2 linked regions of the Lonchura striata genome follow. The protein of the gene in region 1 purifies or fractionates together with the protein of each later gene. This does not show direct contact. Links are inferred from orthologs where the notes say so. Each region holds a gene or a part of one and is shown on either strand. Other genes may lie near its edges.

The links. Proteins that work in one complex are often made in the same cells at the same time.
Region 2: the proteins of heterogeneous nuclear ribonucleoprotein C (region 1) and NCBP1 purify together in Homo sapiens (co-immunoprecipitation; 3 studies listed by BioGRID and IntAct, with this or other methods). This does not show direct contact. The link is inferred for Lonchura striata from reciprocal best matches to the Homo sapiens genes HNRNPC and NCBP1.

The regions. Positions count from the first base shown.
Region 1 is NC_134641.1:1,164,082-1,171,209, forward strand, and holds the start of heterogeneous nuclear ribonucleoprotein C, read right to left. Parts: upstream 3,069-7,128; 5' UTR 2,994-3,068; intron 1-2,993. Other genes in the region: SUPT16H (FACT complex subunit SPT16), read right to left, coding at 5,238-5,347, 6,550-6,627. UniProt on the Homo sapiens protein: Binds pre-mRNA and nucleates the assembly of 40S hnRNP particles. Interacts with poly-U tracts in the 3'-UTR or 5'-UTR of mRNA and modulates the stability and the level of translation of bound mRNA molecules. Single HNRNPC tetramers bind 230-240 nucleotides.
Region 2 is NC_134642.1:47,796,361-47,804,392, reverse strand, and holds the start of NCBP1 (nuclear cap-binding protein subunit 1), read right to left. Parts: upstream 3,018-8,032; 5' UTR 2,892-3,017; coding exon 2,858-2,891; intron 2,728-2,857; coding exon 2,642-2,727; intron 1,962-2,641; coding exon 1,861-1,961; intron 772-1,860; coding exon 615-771; intron 1-614. Other genes in the region: TSTD2 (thiosulfate sulfurtransferase/rhodanese-like domain-containing protein 2), read left to right, coding at 3,149-3,232, 3,306-3,598, 4,462-4,570, 6,231-6,356. UniProt on the Homo sapiens protein: Component of the cap-binding complex (CBC), which binds cotranscriptionally to the 5'-cap of pre-mRNAs and is involved in various processes such as pre-mRNA splicing, translation regulation, nonsense-mediated mRNA decay, RNA-mediated gene silencing (RNAi) by microRNAs (miRNAs) and mRNA export.

The DNA of each region.
Region 1 (7,128 bases):
AATGGAGAATTTGGGGGGTTTGTCCCCGAATTTTCGGGGTTTGTCCCTGAATTTGGGGAGAAATGGAGAATTTGGGGGGTTTGTCCCCGAATTTTGAGGGTTTATTCCCAAATTTGGAGAGAAATGGAAATTTTGAGGGGTTTGTCCCCAGATTTGGGGAGAAATGGAGAATTTGGGGGGTTTGTCCCTGAATTTGGGGAGAAATGGAGAATTTGGGGGGTTTTTCCCCGAATTTGGGGAGAAATGGAGAATTTGGGGGGTTTGTCCCCGAATTTGGGGAGAAATGGAGAATTTGGGGGGTTTGTCCCTGAATTTTGGGGGTTTGTCCCCAAATTTGGAGAGAAATGGAGATTTTGGGGGGTTTGTCCCCGAATTTGGGGAGAAATGGAGAATTTGGGGGTTTTTCCCTGAATTTAAGAGAGAAACTCTGAATCCGAAGGGTTTCTCCCCAATTTTAGGGGTTTGTCCCTGAATTTGGGGAGAAACTGAGAATTTGGGGGGTTTGTTCCTGAATTTGGGGGATTTGTCCCCAAAAGTGGGAAATTTGTCCCTGAATTTGGGGAGAAATGGAGAATTCGGAGAGTTTTCCCCTGAATTTGGGGAAAATGGGGAACTTGAGGGGTTTGACCCCAAATTTCGGGATTTTGCCCCTGAATTTAGGCAGAAACAGAAAATGTAGGGGTTTTGTCCCCAAATTTGGGGGATTTGTCCCCAAATTTGGTTTGTTTCTCCCTGAATTTGTGGGTTTTCCCCCAAATTTGGGGATTTTGCCCCTGAATTTAGGCAGAAACAGAAAATGTAGGGGTTTTGTCCCCAAATTTGGGGGGTTTCTCCCTGAATTTGTAGGTTTTCCCCCAAATTTGGGGATTTTGCCCCCGAATTTTGGGGTTTTTGGCAAAATTCGGGTTTAACTCCCCGAATTCCCCTCCGCCCTCCCAAAGCCCCAGATTTGGGGCCAAAAGGGGAAATTTGGGACTTTGGAGCTTTAATTAAGGCAGGAGGGGGGAAGGGGGAGGGAAATTTGAGGGGGAATGGGGGAATTTGGGGGCTGGCCCCAAAATCTGGGGGAAATCCCCTGAAAATCGAGATTTTGGGGGAGAAAATGGAGGAAATGAGATGGGAGCTCCTGGAGCCAGGAGAGAACGCGGGAATTTGGGATTTAGCCCCAAAAACACTCCTGGACCTGATCAAAAACCTCCAAAATGTACCTGGAACTGATCAAAAACTCCTAAAAACCTCCAAAACCACCAGGAACTGATCAAAACCCCCTAAAAACCCCAAAAGCCACCTGGAAATGATCAGAAACCCCTAAAAACCCCCAAAACCACCAGGAACTGATCAAAAACCCCTAAAAACCACCTGAAACCAACCAAAAACCCCTAAAAACCCCCAAAAATCCTGGAAATGATCAGAAACTCAAAAATAAACCCAAAAACCATCTGGAACCACCCAAAACCCACCTGGAACCACCCCAGAAATTTCCAAAAACCACTAAAAATCACCAAAAACCCTGAAAAATCCCCAAACACCGCCCGGGACTTCGCAGGTGGGGAAGAGGCAAAAACTGAACCTGAAAAGGTCCCAAAATTGGGGGGAAAAGGGAAAAACGGAACCTGAGCTCCCAAAATTGGGGGGAAAAGGGAAAAACGGAACCTGAGCTCCCAAAATTGGGGGGAAAAGGGAAAAACGGAACCTGAGCTCCCAAAATTGGGGGGAAAAGGGAAAAACGGAACCTGAGCTCCCGAAATTGGGGGGAAAAGGGAAAAATGGAACCTGAGCTCCTGAAATTGGGGGGAAAAGGGAAAAACGGAACCTGAGCTCCCAAAATTGGGGGGAAAAGGGAAAAACGGAACCTGAGCTCCCAAAATTGGGGTGGAAAGGGAAAAACGGAACCTGAGCTCCCGAAATTGGGGGGAAAAGGGAAAAACGGAACCTGAGCTCCTGAAATTGGGGGGAAAAGGGAAAAACGGAACCTGAGCTCCCGAAATTGGGGGGAAAAGGGAAAAACGGAACCTGAGCTCCCGAAATTGGGGGGAAAAGGGAAAAATGGAACCTGAGCTCCTGAAATTGGGGGGAAAAGGGAAAAACGGAACCTGAGCTCCCAAAATTGGGGGGAAAAGGGAAATCTGGGAATTCCTGCCCCCCGCCGTTAATTAAACCTTGGAGGGGATTAATTAAAGCTTCTGGGGGGGTTTAATTAAAGGATTTGGGGGGGTTTAATTAAAACTTCTGGGGGGTTTAATGAAAGCTCCCAAAGCCAGGCTTGGCCACGCCCACCTCGGAATTGGCCCCGCCCCCAAATGTAGCCCCGCCCCTCGCTGCTTTATTAACCCTTAATTAGCATTAATTAGCCCCTTAACGATTAGCCACGCCCCCTGGGTTAATTATGCAAACGAAGGCCTCCAAGGGGAGTGAATTAGGCCCAGCCTGGCGCGCAAGGGGTTAATTAATTAATTAATTAATTAAGCCGAGGGTGTTAATCAGGGCTAAGCCACGCCCCCACCCCCGCGGGGTCAGCCCCGCCCCCGCAGGGGCTGATTAATTTATTAATTACCTCGGGGAGCCGAACCCCGCCCCCGCAGGGCTTAATTAAACACGGAGCGCCCTAATTAATTAATTAATTACCTCGGGGAGCCAACCCCGCCCCCGCAGGGGTTAATTAAACCCGGAGCGCGCTCGTTAATTAACTGGGGAGCCAAACCCCGCCCCCGGCGGGGTCAATCCCGGCCCTGAAGGGGTTAATTACCCCCCCAGCCGAGTCATTAGTTAATTACGCTGAGCAATTAGTTCAGGAGGGCGCGGCCCCGCCCCCAGGCCCCGCCCCCCCGGCCCTGAGCCCCCCCCCCCCCCCCATTTCCCGCCTCGCTCCCTCACGCGCCGCCGCCATTTGCACCCCCCAAACCTCCCCCGCGCCCCCGGGCGGGTCCTCCCGCCCGCGGAGCCTCCCGCAGCCCCCCGGGACCCTCCCGGAGCCGCCCCCGCTGCCCCCTCACCGCTCCGGGCACCGCTGCGCTGCCGCCGCCGCCGCCGCCGCTTCCTCCGGGGGCCGAGCGCAAAATGGCGCCCGCGCCGCCCTCAGCGCCGCCAGCGCCGCCGGGCCCGCCCACGCCGCCCGTTGCCGCGCGGCGATTGGCTGAGACGGCTGTCAATCCAGCGCCGAGCCAATGGCAGCGCGCGGAGCGGCGCTGCGCGGGAAGGGGGAGGAGAGACGGCGGGGGGCTCGGGGGGTGGTTTCGATCGCGCTGATTGGCCGAGCGCGCTGCCAGTTATTCCGCTATACCAATCGGAGTCCGGCGCACAGCGGAGGGCCCGCCCCCCGAGGCGCGCGGGGAGGTGGGCGCATGCGCAGCCGGCCGCCGTTGGATCAGCGGGAGGGCGGGGCGAAGGGCTCGGTGCGGGCTCTGATTGGGCGAAGCGAGACGTGGGAGGTTGGTGATTGGACAGCGGCGCTGTCAGTCAGGCGGAGGGGGCGCGGCCCAGTTCGCGCTGGTTTTGGGGCCTTTTAAACTGGTTTGGGGTGATTTAAACTGGTTTAGGGAAATTAAAACTAGTTTGGGGTGATTTTAACCGGTTTGGGGTCATTTAAACCGGTCTGGGCCCATTTTAAACTGGTTTTTCCCAATCCCGACACCTTTCTCCCCATTTTTCTCAAGTTTTCCAATTTTGTCCTCATTTTTTCCATCTTCCCCCCATTCTTTCCCACTTCTGCCCAATTTTCCCCAGATTTTCTCAATTTCCCCCATTTTTCACATTTCCCCTCCATTTTTTTCCCAGTTTTCCCCAATTTCCCCAATTTTTCCCAATTTCCCCCTATTTTTTCCCAATTTTGCCCAATTCCCCCATTTCCCCCCCCACTTTCCCCCTTTTCCCCCATTTTTCCAATTTTCCCCAATTCCTTTCCGAATTTCCTCCCTCATTTCCCCCAATTTCCCCCCAGTTTTCCCAATTTTCCCCTATTTTTCCCAATTCTCCCACTTTCCCACCATTTTCCCACCATTTTTTCCCAATTTCCCCCATTTTGCCCCATTTTCCCCCCTTTTCTCCCCATTTTTCGCATTTTTTCCCCGTTTTTCCCAATTCCCCCCATTTTGCCAAATTCCCCTCGATTTTTTCCAATTTTTCTCAATTTCCCCCCAATTTTCCCCAGTTTTTTTCTTATTTTCCCCATTTTCCCAATTCCCCCCGGTTTTGCCCCATTTTTCCCCTTTTTCTCCCATTTTCCCAATTTCTTCCCATTTCTCCTCAATTCCCTCCATTTTGCCCAATTCCCCGCGATATTTTACATTTTTTCCAATTCCCCCATTTTTCCCAATTTCCCCCTTTTTCTCCTTTTCCCACTTTTTTCCCCATTTTTCCCAATTTACTCCCCATTTTTTCCCAATTCCCATTTTTGCCCAATTTTCCCCTTTTTTTTTCTCATTTCCCCCCATTTTTCTCATTTTCCCCACCATTTTTCCCAATTTCCCCCATTTTTGCCCCATTTTTCCCCCTTTTGCCCCATTTTCCCAATTTTTTTTCCATTTTTCCCCAATTTCCCCCATTTTTCCCCAATTTTTTTTCCAATTCCCCCCATTTTTCTCAATTTTTCCACCATTTTTCCCAATTTCCCCCGTTTTTGCCCCATTTTTCCCCATTTCCCCCGTTTTCGCCCCATTTTTCCCAATTTCCCCCGTTTTCGCCCCGTTTCCGCCCTGGCGCGCAGGAATTCCCGTTTTGGTTAGAAAACCTTAAAAAAACGAAATTTTTATTGAATTTTTGGAAAAGAGCCGCGGGGGGGGGAGGGGGCCCGAACCCGGGGGGGAAAAACCCCAAAAAGGGGGAAAATCCCCCCAAAATGGGGGGACCCCCATAAATACAGAAACCGGGGGAAAAAACACGGATTTTGGGAAAATCGGGGAAATCCGGGGGTTTTCGGCACCGATTTCCGGTGGGAAAATCTCGGGGAATCTCCCCAAAAACCCCGCGGGGAGAAAAAAAAAAAAAAACAAAATCCCCGAATTTTCACCCAAACAACAAAACTAAAAAAAATTCCAAAAAAAACCCCCAAAAACGGGCGGGGCCCCAAAATCCGCGGGAATCGCCCCAAAATTCCAGAGGGGGGGGGAAAATGGGAAAAAAAACAACAAAAAGGGGAAAAAAGGTGAAAAAAAACGGGGAAAAACGGGGAAAAAAGGGGCGGGACGGGGGCGAAAAGGCCCGGGCGGTTTTGGGGTGAAAAGCGGCGATTTTGGGTCCCGTCACTTCCGCTTCTTCTTGGGGGGGTGGGGCCGGCCCCGGCCGGGGGGGCCCTTGCGCTTCCGGCCCCGCCCCCGCTCCTCCTCCTCCTCGTATTGGCTCTCGCGGTCGGCTGGGCGCCGTTTGGGGCGAAAAACGGCGATTTTGGGCAAAACGGGGATTTGGGAAAAAGGGGGGTTGGGGGGGAAAGGGGGATTGGGGGGGGAAATGGGGATTTTGGGTAAATGGGGAATTGGGGGTGAAAAATGGGGGTTTTGAGAAAAAGGGGGATTGGGGGGGAAATAGGGGTTTGGGGTGAAAAATGGGGATTTTGGGCAAAACGGGGATTTGGGGAAAAAGGGGGATTGGGGGTAAAGGGGGATTGGGGGGGAAAATGGGGATTTTGGGTAAATGGGGAATTGGGGGTGAAAAATGGGGGTTTTGGGAAAAAGGGGGTTTGGGGGGGAAGTGGGGATTGGGGTGAAAAACGGCGATTTTGGGCAAAACGGCGATTTGGGGAAAAAGGGGGATTGGGGGGGAAAATGGGGATTTTGGGTAAAGGGGGAATTGGGGGTGAAAAATGGGGATTTTGGGTAAATGGGGAATTGGGGTGAAAAATGGGGATTTTGGGAAAAAGGGGGATTGGGGAAAATGGGGAATTAGGGTGGAAAATGGGCGTTTTGGGAAAAAGGGGGTTGGGGGGGAAAATGGGGGTTTGGGGTGAAAAATGGGGATTTTGGGCAAAAGGGGATTTTGGGGGGTAAAGGGGGTTTGGGGGGGAAAATGGGGATTTTGGGTAAATGCGGAATTGGGGGTGAAAAATGGCGGTTTTGGGAAAAAGGGGGATTGGGGGGAAATGGGGGTTTGGGGTGAAAAACGGGGATTTTGGTCAAAGGGGAATTGGGGGAGAAAACAGGGATTTTGGGAAAAAGGGGTTGAGGGGATTTGGGATTTTGGGGTGAATTCCGGGGGTTTTGGGGTGATTTAAGGGGTTTTTGGGGTGAATTCCGGGGGTTTTGGGGTGAATTTGGGGATTTTGGATTTTGGGATGAATTCCGGGGATTTTGGATTTTGGGGTGATTTAAGGGGTTTTTGGGGTGAATTCTGGGGGTTTCGGGGTTGAATTCGGGGATTTTGGGTTTTGGGGTGATTTAAGGGGTTTTTGGGGTGAATTCTGGGGGTTTCGGGGTTGAATTCGGGGATTTTGGGTTTTGGGGTGAATTCCGGGGGTTTTGGGGTGATTTAAGGGGTTTTTGGGGTGAATTCCGGGGGTTTTGGGGTTGAATTTGGGGATTTTGGGTTTTGGGGTGAATTCCGGGGGTTTTGGGGCCGCACCTTTCCGCGCCTCCTCCTCCAGCTCGTCCCAGTCCTTGCCGCTCTCCTCCTCGCTGCCCAGGGAGTCCTTGGAGTACTCTGGGCAAATCGGGGCGAAAAACGGAGAAATCGGGAAAAACGGGAAAAAACGAGAAAATTGGGAAAAAAACCCCAGGAAAAAAGGGGAAAAATGGGGTAAAAAATGGGGAAATTGGGAAAAACAGGAGAAAAAGGGGAAAATTGGGAAAAAAACACAGGAAAGTCGGGAAAAAAAGGGGAAAAATGGGGTAAAAAATGGGGAAATTGGGTAAAAAAACAGGAAAATTGGGAAAAAAACCCAGGAAAAAAGGGGAAAAATGGGGTAAAAAATGGGGAAATTGGGGAAAAAAACATGAAAATTGGGAAAAAAACCCCAGGAAAATAGGGAAAAAAGGGGGAAGATGGGGAAATTGGGAAAAAAGGGGCAAACAACAGGAAAATCGAGAAAAAAGGGGGGAAATGGGACAAAAATGGGAAAATTGGGGAAAAAGGGGAAAAATGGGCAAAAACAGGGAAATCGAGAAAAAAGGGGCAAAAAACGGGAAAATTGGGGGGAAAAAA
Region 2 (8,032 bases), on another chromosome or scaffold:
TGGAAAACATGCAGACTGATACTACAGAAGAAAACCACGGTACTTCTCTCTATTCTGTACAGTATCAGATAACAAAAATAACAGCAAGTTCTAGCAATAGATCTTATTAGCAAAGATAATATCACGGTTGACTGAAGTTCAGTCTCTTGACTAGAATCTTAATTTTCACCAGTGGGATTCAGAAGGTGAGGAACTTGGCAGTGGGCTTCTAAATCAGACACTGCTGAAGTTCTAATAGCTTACAGCAGACAAAATCTATAAGCAGTAAGGATGAAGCAAATGGTTTCAAAGACAGGAAGCACTTTTTTTTTTTATCTTTTACATTTGACTGAAGAACAAGCAGTGAAAAGCACCTCTGTTTAACACACATTTAATTTTTCACTGTGAAAAAGATACCATTGGAACTACATTTTGTAAATGTAATACAAGTCCTCGTCCTTGAAAAAGAAAATACTGCTAACACATATTTCCTCTTGGAATATTTAAAGTGCACTGCACATTGATGGCAAAAGACATTAAAACACACATTGCAAGGTCCAGCTCTCTGTAACAAAAAGGTGAAAAGAGGAAAGAATAAGGATATGAAAAAAATAGACAAATAAAACTCCACTTACTAAATGCACAGCTTCATTATACATGTTTACTTTCAGACATTCTTTAAGCTGACGAATCATGGCTTCTACAAATTCCCCACCAAAATTGTAGTTCCTGGCATTCAGCAAGCCCACCAATGTCGTGTAAACAGTAAGCTTTTCTGGTAGCAGACGTGCACTGACACAGAAAAAGAAATAATGTGTTAGTTGTTTATTCATCATGTGCCAGTTGGCCACTGCATGGCATCTTAGAATCCGCGTATTGTAAGTTAAAACTTGGCTCATGAGGAAATCAGAAAATCAGAAAAGACAGCTACTATCACTTTCTAGTACAAAATATTTGCTTTTCATTTATATCTAATTGCTGAGTATCCCACAGGGTTGGACAAATAATATTAGTGACAGAATTTATTGCAAGAATGCAAGAAGTTGTTTAAGTCCATAGTCAATAGTAAAGTCATTACACAGCATAAGGAATACTAGGTCCTACTGTAAAAAAGTAATTTACCTCTACCATTTTAAGCAGGTAAGTAAGCAGTGTCTTTCTGCTGCCAGGGAAGGAAGCACACTACTTACCTGTTATTAAAAATATTGCTAAAAAAGAAACTTTAAGTATCTGCAAAATATTAGAACAGGCTACATAGTCTGCACCACACCCTTCCTTCGGAATTGTCTTACCTCTTGCAACAGACCCTGCACAATCCCTCCCTCAACACCATTCAGTGACCCTGTCATAGCATCTCTGCTCCTGCATTTTGCAGGGAGAGGAAAGAGAGCTGGCAGCCACCAGAGCCTGGTTTCTGCTCCTCCCGTTCCCAGTCCTTCCCCTCTAGCAAATGTGCTTACAAAGACTTGAGCACGTGACTGCCAGGGAAGAGAAAGCTGTGAGAAAACATCAAGATAACACAGATAGATGTTAGCAGCCACTCTGGTGGTCTTAAGCGCTTAAGCGTTTCACGTGAAAAAGGATTTTACCCGGTATTGCTGCGTTCCCACAGCTACTGCAGACCAGTTCTAATGTTTCATCTACCTGCTTCAAGCCTTTATACACATTTCAAGTCAAAGCAAAGTAAAAAGGTATTTTTCTTGAATTACACCAAATACATAGCGAACTTGTTCCTCTATGTCTTTCGTTTGTAGTAAGGCAAACCCTAAGCTATGACACCAATCACAAACTAAAGCTATTCATGGCTTTTAAACTACCTTAAAACCAAACTTAGGCACACCGAAAGCACACCCCATATTCCCAGACCTTCTCAATACGTACACAGTACACAGTATTCTTAGTATCTTGCTTTTGTAATTTGGCAGATCAGCTTCCAAAACACCAGCTAGGCCCTCCAGGTTGCTCTCCAAAGATGAATTACTCTAAAATGAAAACAAAACAAACAAACAGAAGAAAGTTTCATCAACCAGGCAAAACGAACTAGTCCAACTCCCACATGTAAGACATGAGCATCCTTTCGTGTCGCCTCATTTTTCGGGGCAATACTCGGGTTCCATCAAAAGCGAAGATCTGTTCTCGCTTGCCTAACAAGAGTTGCACCTGACCGCCAAACTCCCTCGCTAGGAACTTCAGCTTTCCCCCGGGATGCAAGATCGAACATCACCTCAGGAGCATCCCGACCAGCCGAGCATTGATTAACAACACAACACGAAGCTGAAAAACACCTAGTTTCTCTGCGCATCATCACCTATTGTTCTGCCACCCCCTCCTCCATCAGCCCCACCGTCGGGACTGGAAACTTGTGCCGCAGGAAGAGCAATTAATTCTTTCGCACCCTTCGCACGCCAGAATCACCAGCACCATCTCTAGGTACAACAGTAACTCGGGCCGTGTATCCCCGACTGGGAAGCACCACGCTACGATTTAAGCACTTACCCGCCGCAGCACGTGGCTTAGCAAAAAAAACCGGCAACTTTCCACCCACCTCACAAAATAAGCATTTTTTGAGGGTCGCTACTACAGACGAAGCGCACCCACACCATGCAAGGGACAGGGAGAAGGGAAACGAGGCTTGAGTTCCCCGAGCCGCCGGCCCACCTACCTTCTCTCCCACCCTGCAGATGAGCGACTCGAGCCTCTCCTCAATTTCCGACGGCTCGGACGTCCTCCGCCTCTTGTGGGGCTGTCCTGCTCCACAACACACCAAGCAGAGCGTTACCGCCGCCGCAGAAACCCTGCCGCTCTCAACCCCGCCGCTCCTCCATCCCGCCCGACCCACCCTCCCGCCGGGACACCGCGAGGGGGGCGCGGGGCTCACCATCGCTGTCGTCGCTGTGCCGCCGCCGCGACATGGTCCGGAGCAGCGGGGGGGAGCAGCGGGAGGAGCAGCGCCGAGCAGTGCGGAGCGCCGCGGAGCTGCGGGAAGCGCTGGGCCGAGGCGCCGCGCGGGCCGAGCAAGCGCGCTGCCTCCCCGCCCGCGGCCGCGCCGCTTCCGGGGCGCGCGCGGCCCGGCCCGCCCACTTCCCTGAGGAACCCGAGCCGTTCCGGGTCGGGGACGGAGCCGGCGGGAGGAGGCGGAGAGCGGGCGCTTCCCGGCGGAGAGGGGGAGATGGTGCTGGGCGAGGCGGCGCCGCGGGGCAGCGCCGAGGGGGCGGCGGCGGGCAGGAAGCAGTGCGCGGCCGCCCGCAGGAAGGTGGGTCGGGGCCGGGGCCGGGCCTGGGCCGCGCTGTAACCTCGGTAACGAGGACGCTTGCGGTGCGTTCCAGGCCTTTTCCCTGTTCGTCAAAGCCAAGGAGGTGCCGGCCGCGTCGCGGTGTCCCGGCGGAGGAGAGGGCGTGCGGTGGCGGTGCTGCCGGCAGGCGTTCGAGGAGCTGCCCGGCATCCACAGGCACGTGGCGCTGCACCACTCCGGGGACGTGGGGCGGCAGGCGGGGCTGGGCGCGCCGCCCGCCGACGCCGCGGGCGGCGCGGCCCGGCCGAGCGGGCGCTCCTGCGGCGGCCCGGAGATCTCCTGGGCGCTCCCGGACACCAGCCACGTCAGCCACGACGATCTGACCAGGTAAGGAAGCTCCTCGCCTCCCTGAAGCTCCAGCACTGGGATATTCGGCTTTACATGATCATCTGCCAGTGTACTTCTTATGAGAAGTACTTCTTAAGCCACGCTTCTAAGGTATAGGAAGAGAGTATTCCCCAATATTCTTCTAGATCTTCACATTCTTTGTGTATCCTTTATATAAAGAGCTAGATCCCTTGCAGTTTTTAACGGTGGATTGAACTATTCTTCTGTACTGTTAAAGCAGGTCTGTATGGGTGTTGCTTGACAGCTTGGATCTGTAAGGAAGGACCACAACAGAGAAGGGCAGAACAGCAGGATATGCTTTGCACGGGTTCCTTTCTGCTGTTCGTTCAAGTTCCTGAAGTTAGTTATGAAGAAGGTTCATAGAAACGCTTCTGACTGTGACAGAGTTCAGCTTGTGCTGCACAGAATGTGGGAATGTGCAATCTCACAAAAAACTTAGGCTTTTTAAATTTAGACAGCTCAAGTGCTTGAGTTTTCAAGTGCCATTTTGGTAAAGTGAGCCAAATGGCTTGCATGTATGGATAAAAGCCAGCAATTCTTGTGTTCTGTGTGTGGGGAGAGCATATGGTAGGCCCTGGAAGTGAGAGTACAAAGTTCACTTTGTAACTAGTCCCGAGGATTAGAAGTCTGGGAGCTTTTTTTTTGGTTAACATTCATTCTGTTTGTAATAAACCAAACCCAGTAGGTCTAATCCCTACAAAGTTTGTTTCAGGGGATTTTTTTCTCTACAGATCTGCCAAAAGAAAATTGTCTGCTTTTTGAATGGTTACTGCTAATAGTACAATTTTGTTCTTTCTTAACATTATTTTTCTTTTTGCTTACCTTTACCATGCTGTGGGCAGCCAGGTGGGAGACGTACTTCTCTATTACTGTTACTGTGAGGTGAGGGATCCAGAGAAACTCTGTGCTTGGCAGAAGGCTTTGTGTCAGCATCTACATCTCACTGGCAAGGTAAGGTTTGCAGCAATGGTTCTATTCTTAAAGGAAAAAGCCCCATATCTTTACGTAGTGCAGGATGATGGGTTATATGGAGAACCACATGTGTTTTGCATCAGAAAGTGTTAGTCTGTTATGATCCCATTAAGACAGACACTCAGACTTGGTAAGGTATCTTTTAGAATTCTGTTTAAGAGCTATCACAACAAAGAAAAAAAAATACAGATAATCTTAAATCCCCTTAAATCCCTTTTGATGTAGGGAGCCCTGGGTTGTGTGGCACTGAGTGAGCCTTACAGGCAGCACACTGTGCAGACCCTGGCCTTGCAAGGATTACCCTGTTTCCATCAGTTTTACACATGGAAACAGTCTTTTTATCACTCCTGCTGTCAACCAGAAAGGATATTCACATGAGAAAGTCGTGATGCATTTTTCTATAAAGGCAGGGAGATGAAAGTGACTTAATCATTGGTGTCAGCAGAGAGCTGCTTTCAGGCATCTCAGTTAGCATTAGCAGGCTGGGTGTATGCTGTGGCTGAAGGACACATGCAGCACAACGCAGCCTGAGGGCCAAGCTGGAGGGATAGCGTGGGTCTGGGCCTGCTCCACTCACTGGGCACCTGTATCCTCCTTCCTCAGTGCACAGTGGGCTTCCATGCAGAGTGGCTACAGCAAGCTGTAAGCCATACTGTTGGGAAGGTGAGAACAGCCAACACCTTAGACTACACCATAATGTAGCATTTTTCTTTTCTGCACAGTCTGTTATTTTCATTCCTGGCAGGTTAGACTAATGACATCAGTTGCTTGTGTACCTGACCTCTGGATGCTGTGTGCAAAGGTGAATTTTAGTCTCAGAAAGTTGATGTTCCTAGGCTATCTGTGAGGAGAAGGAGAGCAACGTGGAGCAGGAAAATCCTTTTATCTGAGACTTGTCTTCCTAATTAGCTTCTTGCTCTCTGCCAGTGATACATCAACACAGGCCTGGGGGTGAAGTGTTGTCATACATTCACTCCTTTTTCTGCTCAGCTGTCTTCTCTGGTAGTTGGTGTTTTGCTCAAGTTTCTTTTCTTTTTTTTTTTCCATCTCATCTCCAAGACAGGTAGAGCCCAATCAGCTGTTTTTCTCCTTGCTTCTTATATTCAGTCTTTCGCCCTTCCCCCCAACCCCCACTTCAGAGCTTTTGTTCATTTGTCAGTGCTGGGGATAAAATGACTCATCCCAAAAATTAATATTTGATACAATGTTATGCATATTCACATTTTCTTTTTTAGCTGTGTGAGTCATGCAGCACAAACCTATTGTTCTTTCTGAGGTAACTTCCAGTGGGAATTCTAATGCCGACTGCAGGATTTGCAGACAGCAATTTCTGTGTTTATACAGCATTTCTCTGTTTATTGAGTGGACTTCTCTGACTGTCCTGGTGTGATTCTTTTAAAATGGCTGAGAAATGGTTACTGGATTGTTGAGGGTTTTTTTTCCTGGTTATTGTCTTTATGTTCAACTTCAGACTAACCATATTTTCCTTCCTTAATCAGTAGTCTCTTTTCTGAACATACTCCTGTGCCTGCCCTGTGTCACAGGCAAATATTTTGCCATATTCATAATTTGCCAATTTCACTATGATCTCTTTTGCTGTAATTAAGGCTCAGCCCCAGCTTCTCCTCTTGCCTTCTAGGTACGAGTTGCTTCAGAGGGGATTAATGGGACAGTTGGTGGAAGCAAAGTAGCTACCAGTCTTTACATTAAAGTTATGCTTTCCCAGCCTCTGTTCAAAAACACTTTGTGTCAAGAGGATTTCAAGGTATGACAAAAAATTTACGTAGATATTATTAATGCAAGTAATTTAATTTTCAAGAAATAAGTAGTTTCCTTTTTGACAGTATTACTTCTGCTGTAGCAGTTCTGCTCCCCCACCACTTACCTAAGTTGGTGGATCTTAACCGTACTGAAAATCTTTGCTGGTTTTTACAAGAATTGGGAGTTTCCATGGACAGTGATAGTCACTGCTACAAGCTTTGGCAGCTATGGGTGCAGCTTCAAAGCCCCTGAATACAGGTGAGTGAGGGAGTGTGCCTAAGCCCCATCATTCTGCAACAAGCATTTACTGCAGACTGAGCAGGCATCATGACATACACTTAGCCCAGCAAAGTGTTTGCACACTGTCCTCTTCACCCTGCTTTGACGGGAAGCAGTACTACTGGTTTAGGTTTATGCAGGTTTTGGTGCCCATATAGGTGCACTGTCAGTTCCATGGATTGGGTATCTTCCAGAGAAAACACACAGGGACTGTCAAGAGGTTTCTTGCTACTTCACTTAGTGTTTGGCTGGAGTATACATACTGATTGGTGTCGTCTCATGATGAAGGCAGCAGTGGCTGGTGTGCTATATGGCATCTGGTAGGCTTTGGCTGCCAGCCACTCTTAAGTTCTGGCTTCTCTGCAAGGAAGGAAAGCTTCTGCTTAAGCTGTAGCTCTTTTCCACACAGTTTTATTTGCAGGGAGTCCTACTATTTTTTCATAAGCAACTAGATCAAAGGAGTTAGTGAAACCTGCGAAAATCAAATTCCATGCTGAGCTGCAGTGATGATTCAGTCCTAGCTTTATAAGTGTCTGTTATGCTTGGCTGAATTTCAAGAGGAGTTGTGTTAGTTACAGTCATATGTAGATACAAAAGAAAAAAAAAGAGGGATGGAATTTTACCTTGGCAAAACCTTCAACCTTGCATGATCTCTCTGGGCGTCAGTGTTCATGCATTAGTCAAATATAGTGTTTGCTGTCTCACAGTTCCTCCTGACTGTTGTATGCCCAAGTGAGTGAGGCTTTCAGGTTACTGTGCCATGAAGACATGGGATAGAGGAGTTATTGGTGTTACCAATATTGAGAATGGGATGTGCCCTGGCTTGTCTGGCCCTGCTGCTGAACCAAATGGCAGCCACTGTGGTGTTTCACCCCAGAGACACCTTTAGCTAGCTGGATGTTGCAGCTGGGAGCATGGACGCAAGTCCAGACAAGCCAGAGCTCAGATGGCTGTGGATGTAGCTTCCTTGCAGAGGGTCTGCTCCTCAGGTTTCCCTCTGCCAGAGAAGCCTGTAAGGCTATGGTGAAGGAAAGGAGTCGGTTCTGATGGAGGGTTTTAATCCAGAGCTTTTATTCTGGCCTGCAGGCCTCTGAATCCAGTCGCAGCTCCACCACTCCCAGACCGTGTGGTTCCCCTCTCTTTTACCTGGGGGAGCGGACGGGGGAAGGGATAGGGAGCCACCAACCAGGTACAGGAGAGGACGTCTCACGGGACAAAGGACAAAGGATGGCCCAATGCCTTCCTAGGGGTGGAGAGCATCTTTTGAACCTGCTCAATCACTCTATGCCCTTCTGGAATTCCAGGAGTGACAGACAGTGCTTGGCAGAGGGTCAGGGTGGGGAAAGGAGAAGTGATTGACACACCTGGGAGGACAACTTCAGGGGAGGAACCAGGGTTTGG